2 linked regions of the Nothobranchius furzeri genome follow. The protein of the gene in region 2 interacts with the protein of the main gene of each other region in a pairwise test. Links are inferred from orthologs where the notes say so. Each region holds a gene or a part of one and is shown on either strand. Other genes may lie near its edges.

Evidence for each region. The genes of interacting proteins can lie anywhere in the genome.
Region 1: the proteins of psmf1 (region 2) and fbxo7 interact in binary tests that used the Homo sapiens proteins (3 or more experiments, as listed by UniProt). The link is inferred for Nothobranchius furzeri from reciprocal best matches to the Homo sapiens genes PSMF1 and FBXO7.

What each region holds. Positions count from the first base shown.
Region 1 is NC_091741.1:31,395,489-31,401,292, forward strand, and holds the start of fbxo7 (F-box only protein 7), read right to left. Parts: upstream 3,898-5,804; 5' UTR 2,781-3,897; coding exon 2,687-2,780; intron 2,649-2,686; exon of another isoform or gene 2,448-2,648; intron 2,254-2,447; coding exon 2,127-2,253; intron 2,028-2,126; coding exon 1,832-2,027; intron 1-1,831. UniProt on the Homo sapiens protein: Substrate recognition component of a SCF (SKP1-CUL1-F-box protein) E3 ubiquitin-protein ligase complex which mediates the ubiquitination and subsequent proteasomal degradation of target proteins and plays a role in several biological processes such as cell cycle, cell proliferation, or maintenance of chromosome stability.
Region 2 is NC_091743.1:68,639,639-68,643,929, forward strand, and holds the end of psmf1 (proteasome inhibitor PI31 subunit), read right to left. Parts: intron 4,025-4,291; coding exon 3,827-4,024; intron 2,726-3,826; coding exon 2,669-2,725; intron 1,882-2,668; coding exon 1,720-1,881; intron 1,528-1,719; coding exon 1,476-1,527; 3' UTR 1,068-1,475; downstream 1-1,067. UniProt on the Homo sapiens protein: Plays an important role in control of proteasome function. Inhibits the hydrolysis of protein and peptide substrates by the 20S proteasome. Also inhibits the activation of the proteasome by the proteasome regulatory proteins PA700 and PA28.

The sequences.
Region 1 (5,804 bases), on a different chromosome or scaffold from region 2:
TTTGCCCGCCTTCGTCTCCCGGCAACGGACAACAACTTCCGGGGTCAGATGCGCTGCTCCGTCTCTACCGCAGATGTAGAACATCACCGGGAGCGTTTCTCCCTTCATTAAGGAGCTTCTTTCAGACATTAGGAGAGCTGTTTTGGTGGTAGCAGTCTCTCCTGCGTGCTGGTCTGTTTGCTGCTGGGTGTTTTTGGTTTATTTAAACTTGGTAACTTGAACTTAACATTGGTAAAGCTACTGTTAGCATCTTCGCTAACAGCTTCTTGCCCTTTGGATAAGCTGTTACGTTTTGGTTTAGAGTTCATCTTTTTTGAGGTGCAGATCTCCCTTTTATTACATTTAGAGTGTTGTGGGTTTTTGGTTTAGTTTAAAATATCACCTTGAGTTTGGTTTAACCGCCCAGTTTAGAGTTTGGACCTTTGGAGATCCTTATTTTGGTCCAGAACCCAGTAATCTTTGCCCAGTGGGACATCCCTAGTTATTTGTACTTTCGTTTTAATTCCCCACAGACAGAATTAGTTTTATTATTCCCAACATGTGGATGGAAAGATTTGTTTTATTGTTGTTGTAAATAAACCCGATCATCATTTTAACTTTTAAATCCCGTTATTGTCCCTTCATTTTTGCACACGAGCCAAACTCCCCAGGAAGGGTCGTAACACCACTCGCCTCACACTCATAAGTGACCAAAACAAAGCAGCATGAAGACACTCCATCTTCTACCACCTCTCAGGCAGCAGCCTGCACTCCCACGTTCTACATGTCACCAGAACATAACCAACCAACACAATAAAAGCAGTGTTATACAAGATGGAAGGCCTGTAGTGTTTATTCTCTTACAGTAACCATTTATCAAGTTTTTTGAGGAATTTATTTGAGATTTTCTGGTTTTTAGTAATTGTGCAATAGAAAAATAATCGTTAGATTAATCGTCTAAATAATCATTAGAATAGTCGACTATTCGATAAAATAATCGTCAGAATAATCGTTTTAAAAATAATCGTTTACCCCCAGCCCTAGTTCACAGACATCCAGACCTTAGAAATGAAATAAAATCAATATTAAAGTTTAAAGATCAGTTATCTGTGGACACTTTTCTACTTGATGTAGTCCAGCTGAAGCAGACATCTGCTCATTTCTAACAGAGCTGAGCTGTGGGAGAACATGTTCAGGTTATTTAATCTCATTTTCCATCAGCTGTGGAATATACCTAACATTAATTATAAACTATAAATAACAGGTCACTACAGTCTGAGCTAGAACGTGTTCCTAGGAGCAGAAGCTGGTTGGGTTTGGGTTGGCAGCAGCTCACCAGTGCCTGACAGGAGAGCTCCTCTCATCAGCAGCAGGTGATCTAGAGTGACACCAGCCCAAAAAACAACAACACTGAACTCAACCGGGCCATCGGGAATTTCCCCAGTTGGGGCCTGGTTCCACCCGCCGTCCCCGTTAGACAGGAGCTGCTCACGTTAGCTCTCATTGTGACACCAGAGCTGGGCTCCATTAGTGCGACTAGCTTCTACAACGTTTAAATAAATAAACGCACAACTTCTGTGGCTCGTGTATAAAACCATCTACTCCAACCCCAGAGTGTAGTGGTGTGGTGGCAGAGCGCTGTTTTGGTGTGGGGGGTTAACAAGCGGAGGGGCGCCTAATCACTGATGTGCTTCTCTCTTATTAATGATATAATTAGCAGATACACAAATGGACAAGAACACGGCTGTTATTAAACAGAGGAACGTCAGACTAAAATGTTCTTGCATCATTGCTTTGGCGCCCCATGTGTCGCATACACTGCGTACCCACTTTTGCGTCACTGTGAGCTCACCTGAGTGGCGGTCTGCTGATCGTCAGTTATTGGGGCTGTGGAGCTGGTTTCCCCTGAGGTCACGGCGACTGCTGGAGGCTGCCGGAGCAGCACACAGATCAGATCTCCAGAAACGATCCCAAAGGAAGACAGGGTCTGACCAGAGTCCAACAGAAGCTCAGAGCCGTTCAGAGACAAGCTGAATTCTGTGTTCAGACTGAAAGGAGATGAAGAAAACGGAGCATTGAGCCGTTGGGACACACGCTGGTTAAGAGACAAGAAAAAGAGAATAAATGGATCCATCCGGAAGTCTGACCCAAGTCCAGTAGAAGTCAGCAGTGTCTGCTTGATGACATCTGAGAGTTCTGTGAGAGTGGGTTCTTCTCCAGGTAAGTCCACCCTGCTGGTCTGCTTGTTGATCCGGACCCGTAGCTTCATGTTGTCTGAAATAAACAAAACACACCGGCTTCCGTAAGATCACATGACCTCTACTTACATAAAAAACATGTTCAACTTATAGCAACTGAACTTTAAACCTCAGATTCAGGATTCCAACCAAAATCGGTTCTTATAGATGAATAAATGCGCCTAAAGCACAGAATGTTTACATGGGAATGGCACCAACTTCTGTCCACACCTTTAGTCACACTCCAACCTCCACCATGTAAGAGACTCACAGGTTTATCCAAAAAGCTTACGAACAAAGAAGTGTCATGAAAATCTGTTAGATTACGGTTCCAATAATAATAACGAAATAAGCACGCACGACAGTGCTGTAAAATAAACGATCGCTTCTGGAAAATGACGATTTCGTTTTCCTTTCATATCAAACGTTTCGTATTTGCTGCGTAGCACGAGACAAGCTAGCTAACTAACCTGGACGGGTAGTTAGTGAAACCTGCGGGTTATCTTCAGAAAGTCCCAGAACTTCACAGGTAAACCGAGAAAAGCTCACATTATAATAGAACATGAAATTCTCTCCTATCAGTGAAAACGAAACATCGGAAACTGAAGAGACGTAATTTCCGCTTCGACTTTTCAAAATAAGACCCAGAACAGTTTAGCACCTCTCAACATAAAAATCACGAGGAGCTTCACAAAAAAATTTAATAAAATTTAAAAAGTAAAAAAAAAAGAATAAAAATATGTTTAAAATTAAAGAAAAAAGTAAACATTATATTAAATATATAATGGAAAGGGAGAGAGAAATTTTATAGGAAAGAGGGAAATCAGTGGATTCCAGGAAAGGCAGAATAAGAACAAGGTGGTGGTGTTGAAGGTCCCACCAAAGCCTTAACGGGTGAGTTTAAAGGAGACCACTGAGTCCACTGATCTCAGGCTCAGGGGGAGAGAGGTTCAGAGTCTGGGGGCCACAGCAGCAGATGATCTGTCACCTTTGGTCTTTAGCCTGGTGCTCCACAACCAGTAGGCTTTGGTCACTGGAACTCATGGACATGCTGGGGGTGTAGGGACTAAGATCACCAATGTATGTGTCACAGTTTGTCTTGTCTCCCCAGTTTCCGTTCAGTTCTGTGTCCATGTTAATTGCTCCCACTTGCCTCTTGTCTTCCAATCACTCAAGGTCCCAGCTCCTCATGTATTTAAACTTTTAATTTAATTAAATTCAAGTTTATTTATATAGGGCCTAATCGCGACAAGAGTCGTCTCAAGGTACTTCACATAATAACCATTCCAATACAGGTCAATTCATTAAGCCAATCAGAAAAAAGTTTCTGATTCTGTGGTTACATTGTGATGTCTTAGTAAATATTCTATTTGGTGAGAGATAAACTTTATTGTATTTATCCTAGTGGATCTATAATTAAACGGGTAAACTAGTAGTAGCACATCCAACATCAAAGAGAGTAAAAAGTTATCAGGAGAGGGAGAATGTTTAAGTGGTTAGCAGCAGTGTGCTAGACGATGGCCCCCTCCATGAGGCCACCACAGCTCAGCAGAACATCATTGTAGCTTCTTCTGGGGAGAAAAACACTTAGAGAGAAAATAAAGTTAACAGCTGAAATAGCAGGAAGTAATACAGTTAAAGGGCAGATTGTAGAACAAAGTAGGTGAGTGTGGAAAGTGGTCATTGTATCCTCCAGCAGTCTAAGCCTATAGCAGCATAACTACAGAGATAACTCTGGATAACCTAGCCTTTTTAGAATGAGGCATATTGGAGGCAGGGCAAGGGAGAGCCGTCTTTACCGACTGTACACTCCACCTCCCTCTACTCCCCCACTTGTCCTTATTTAGGCTAACATCAGATTTTAACCATAGGCCCTATCAAATAAAAAATGTTTTAAGCCTATTCTTAAAAGTAGACAAGGTGTCTGCCTCACGGACTAAGACTGGGAGCTGGTTCCACAGGAGAGGAGCCTGATAACTAAAAGATCTGCCTCCCATCATAATTTTAGATATTCTGGGAACCACCAGTAGACCTTCAGTCTGAGAGTGAAGTGCTCGGTTAGGAACGTATGGAACAATCAGATCACTGATGTATGATGGAGCTTGATTATTAAGAGCTTTATATGTGAGAAGAAGGATCTTAAAATCTATTCTGAATTTAACAGGTAGCCAATGTAGGGAAGCTAAGACAGGAGAGATATGATCTCTCTTTTTAATTCTCATCAGAACTCCAGCTGCAGCATTTTGGACAAGCTGAAGACTTTTAACTACATTCTGTGGACTTCCTGAGAGTAATGAATTACAGTAATCCAGTCTTGATGTAATAAATGCAGGAACTAGTTTTTCAGCATCACTCCTGGAAAGTATGCTTCTCATCTTAGCAATATTCCGAAGGTGGAAAAAGGAAATCTTACAAACCTGCTTAAGGTGGGATTTGAATGACATGTCCCGGTCAAAGATAACACAAAGGTTCCTTACTTTGTTCTCGGAGATTAATGTAATGCCATTCAGGTCAGGTGATTGACTAAGCAATCCTTTTCTGAATTTCAGGACCAAAGATGAAAACTTCCGTCTTGTCTTGATTTAAAAGCAAAACGTTTTGAGTCATCCAATTTTGTATGTCCTCAAGACAAGCCTGTAATCTACCCAACCGATTAGGTTCATCAGAGTTAATGGATGAATATAACTGGGTATCGTCAGCATAACAGTGGAGATTTATCCCATGTTGTCTAATGATTTTACCAATTGGGAGCATATATATAGTAAAAAGAATTGGTCCAAGCACTGAACCCTGTGGTACTCCACAAGTAACCCTGGAGTATGAAGAAGATTTGTCATGTACATTTACAAAATGAAATCTGTCAGACAGGTAGGATTTAAACCAGCCTAACGCTGTTCCTTTGATCCCTACAACATGTTCAAGTCTTTCTAAAAGAACATTGTGATCAACTGTGTCAAAGGCAGCACTGAGATCTAACAAGACTAGAACAGACACAAGATTCTTATCTGAGGCCATGAGAATATCATTTGTAACTCTCACTAATGCAGTTTCAGTGCTGTGATACTCTCTAAAACCAGACTGAAATTCCTCAAACAGAGCATTAGTGTTTAAATGCTCACATACTTGGATGGCCACTATTTTCTCCAGGACTGTGGATAAAAATGGAAGGTTAGATACTGGTCTATAATTCATTGGGTCATCTGGATCCAGAGAAGGCTTCTTAAGTGAAGGTTTGATTACAGCAACCTTAAAATCTTGTGGTACATACCCATTTACTAAGGATAGATTGGTTACTGCCCCCATTCTAGATGTAATCAAAGGAAATGCTTCTTTAAATAATTTGGTTGGGATTGGATCCAAAATGCAAGTTGAAGGTTTAGATGAAGCTAATATTTTTGATAACTCTGAAAGCTCAACTGGATCAGAACGGTTCAAGCACAGATGAGGTTCTACAGTCACCTCTGATGCTGCCTCACTTACTGAGGAAGAAGAAATCGCATTAGGGAGGATGCTTAAGATTTTGTTTATAATAGAATTAATTTTACTTGTAAAAAACCCCATGAAGTCATTGCTGCTGAGGGCTAAGGG
Region 2 (4,291 bases):
AAAAAAGGCTGGTTCTGTTCTGGGGACGACTGTGGAACCACTGGAGGAGATAATGCAAAGAAGGATTCTCCAGAGAATCAAGAAAATTATGGACAACCCTGAGCATTCTCTTCACAAGACTGTCCGACAACGGAACAGTGTCTTCAGTCAGAGGCTTCTTCAGTTTCGCTGCAACACTGACCGCTACTGGAGATCCTTCCTGCCAACAGCCATTGTAATATACAACAACTCTTTAACGACTTGATTATTATTATTATTATGAGCTACTACAGCAATCATTTTCCCTCTGGGATTAACAAAATATTTTTGAATTGAACTGATTCTGGTGACAATTTGCTTATATAACTTCTTAATGATATGAATCATCATGATAGACAAACCACTGTTTATAATCCTGTACAAAGGTTAATTTTTAAATCCACAAAAGTTTAGACATTTGCAGTGACTGGATTATTAAACCAATCATCTTTGTTTTTTATATATTCACTGGGTTTTATGTAGATGAAAAAAGTTCAGCCACCTTTGTGCAACGGACGATGGAAACCTCATCAGGTTTAGTAGGTCACACTGAAAATGGGAAATTATGATGCTGAGGGAAACTACAGACTCACATATGATTCCAGATCAATAAACATACTGAGAGCTGGTTGTTATGGTGTGTTTCTCTTAACTCGGTCGTTCATGCTTCTCAGAGGATGAAGCATTCAGGTCATCCTCACCAACTTTCTTTGTTTAAAGGGACGTCCTCAACATAAAATGTTGATTTTATGGTCCTGAAATAAATAAAAGTACTAGCATGCTGGTGACAGCACTGTTGGTTTTTAAATAATTTTATTGCACTTGTGATTTTAATTTAAAAAGCCATGTAATAATAATAAAAATAATAATCTTCATCCATTTCTTCTTCTTTTAGTTTACCTCTTCATCTTAACTTCCCATTTAGACCATTTAGGACTGAAGGTCATTTTTACTTTTCCTCTAAGAAGCAAAGCTGAGAAACCCTCTTTGGATAGAAAGCTGCTAATGTGTGAAGTAAATAAAAGGAAATGCTTAAAACAGCAACACGACAGGGTTCAAAGTCATTTTTATTTGAACTTTTTGCAGGAAATAATTATAAAGCCATATTGTTCTGTCAGCATGTTGAGCTGTTTGTCCTTCAAAAGCAGTTACGGAGTGTGATCGCTATTCAGAATAATGAAGGTCACAAGAAACTAGGAGTCTAAGATGAACATGTTTACCACAATAATCTGATTTTTTGTTTTTACTAAAGTTTCTTTAAAAATCAGACTTAATATTTTACATCACTAACGGGTTCTTCTGTGAGTCGAATCAAAGTTTTAATGTTGTGTGAGTGGAGGAATGAGAAGAATAACCCTCCTCTTCAGAGCAGATTGAAACTTTCAGGTCTCTGAACTGGATCCAGTTTTAGATCAGTAGCAAGCAGAAAGTTGAAAAGCAGGAAACACGGGTGGGCACTACATGAACATGTCATCGTAGCCAGGTGGGGGCATGTGGTCTGGATCTGGCCTAAAAACGAGGCAAAGAGGAGAAAGCAGTCAGAAAGCTGTCATTACTCTTCTGGTTTCTCTTAGTTTAATCTGAACAAAAAGTCCAGAAACTGTAGAAAGAACTAAAAATGTATCTGAAGCATCCGTTTTCTGGGGCGAACCCAGAAGTCAGCCCAAGGTTGTCGTCTGCTGAGCATCGTTTGCGTCTCACCCTGGTCTGTGACGTCCGATGGGTCCAAACGGGTCGAAGCGCGCTCCTGGGGGAACGGCTCCAGGAGGCAGGATGTCTGGTATGCCGCTAGACGGGTCAAAGCCGGAGCGAGGATACCCCGACCTCAACGGGTCGACTATCATCCCGCCGCCACCACGAGTTCTGGGGGGGATAAAATTAATTTTGTTTCCTTGTTATTTTTGAGCTCAAATACAAAAATTGGAACAAAAAATGACGGATGGATGTTAGAAGACGGTTTAAAAGCAAACTAACTGTTTTAATTACAGAGTGAAATTGGCTTATACCTGAGATTGGATTATACCGGCATGAACTCCAACAACTGGTCTTTTATTCTAAAGATTAGTAATCCTTCAAGAGCAGAGATTAGAGTTTTATATTAAAGGTGAAATAAATGAACAAAAACAGAACACCGGGCAAGAAGAACAATGAGACAGAGAAAAAGTATGTGAAGATACTATAATCCAACATAATTCTAGAAGGTGAGTAAAGAAATGCTTTATGAATGTTGTCAAAAACATTTTAATATACAGTTTGAATTAGTCAAGTGCCAAGATCCATCCATGGATCCATCTTGTTCCGCTTATCTGAGGTCCAGTCACTGGGGCGTCAGGTCCATATGGGAAGCCTGGACGTTCCTGTCCCCAGCTCTCTTTGTGGAATCCCAAAATATTCCTACGCCAGACAGGATAGATACAATACCTACAGTGGGCTCTGGGTCTTTCCAGACGGGCCCGGAAAACCTCCAGGGGGAGGCCACCTTGGATGCTCGAATCGATGCAGAGGAGCAGCGGCTCTACTCCGAGCCCCCAGTCAGGGTTAAGACATTAAATTTTCCTTAAAAATATACAGATTATTTCGGAGTCTTGCTAATACCTTTTTTTCTGAGAGAACACTAAAATAATTAGGACTGAGGGATGATATGACTCACCCAAAAGGATCCAGGTCTGCTCCTCCAACTGCAAACGGAGGATCCAAAGGATTGGGCCTGAAAAGAAACAAAAGCACAGACGTCAGTCTGGTTTCTTTAACCTAAAAATAAAATAATTATAAAACAAACATGAAACTATTTAAAATCTAGCATATTTATAACTTCCTTTATGGTTAAAATTTGCCAATATTTCTTAAAAACCTTTTGTTGCTTTTCTTGCGATAAACATAACTTATTTTAAGGCTGTTGAGTGTAATTTTTGATCTTTTAATACCACTTTTTAGCACATATTCAGTAGATAGCCTTAGCTTTGTTGTTTTCTAACAAACTAATCAGAACACTGAAGTAAAACAACAGAGTTCCAGCCGGCTGGGATTTCCACAGCAGACTCCAGGGAAATCAGGATGTGAAGAGATGGCTTTAAGCATCTTTGGAACAAAAACAGCCACATTTGGCAGAAATTTGAGACAATGTATTATAAGATCTGAATATGAGACAAAGAACGCTGTGCTTTAGTTTTGGGAAAGAGAATTTCAGTTGCTGATCATAAAAGTTTACTATAAATGCAAATCTTTATTTTTAGAGCATTGTCAGCGACCCAGAAACTGAGCACCGTGTTTGACTGATGGTAAATTCAAACAGGAGAATATTACTCCGTTTCCCTGTACTATACTGTATTTTTAAATGTTCTATATGTTCTATCCAACCTTCATCTGTTCTGTATTGGTCCTATCACCTCCTCCTCCTCTGCTCCCTGTGCACACTCGTCTTTCTAACATCTCCCTCAGCAGCGAACCCAGTCTACACATTCATCATGTCTTCATTTCTCTTCCACTTCTCTGTTTTCTCCTCACTTCAGCCTCTCATCTTCTCATCTTTTTTGTCTAGCCATAATCAAGTCCTTGTCCTTCCTAATCCCCCTTGACACTCCATCTCTCAAGGAGCGGGGAGGCGACAGCATGAGGTCAATAAAGTGCTGTTGACATCACCTCGCTTCTCATCTGACCAGGACGGAGGACGAAGAGGAGTGAGTGACTGTTCTGTCTGTCTGGTTTGTATAATTTGGGCAGTTTTAGCTTTCAGGTCAAGGTTACTATATAAGACCAGTTTCTGAATTTATGTGAGAAGAATACTGATCAGCTGTATGTGACGACCAACCAGTGAGGCTGTGTTCCCTGGTGAGGATGTCCGCCGGGCATACGGAGAGGGCTGCTGCCTTCTTCCCTTCTTCTTTGTGCCTCATCTTCTTCATCTCTTCTACTCTTCCTCTCTGTTTTCTGTTCCGTCTCCTTCTTCTGGGGAGGCAGCAGCTGAGCCGTCACCATCTGTGACAAACCCTCCATGTCTTTGAACACACTGCAAAAAATAAATAAAAAAAAAACTGAAACTTTAACTCTTTACAGATGATACTTTGTTTTTCTCACATTCTGGCCTCTCTACATTATTAAATACAGATTAATAAATGTAAATGGTTCAAATGAAATAAGTTACTTGTCAATGTGAATAAATGTAAGTCCACAAAATAGAAGATTAAAATAACACAATAACTCCTGTCTCATTGACAACTTGTCTTATAAAATATAAATCACTTGCTAAAACATTTTATCAGTTGATGTCATACAT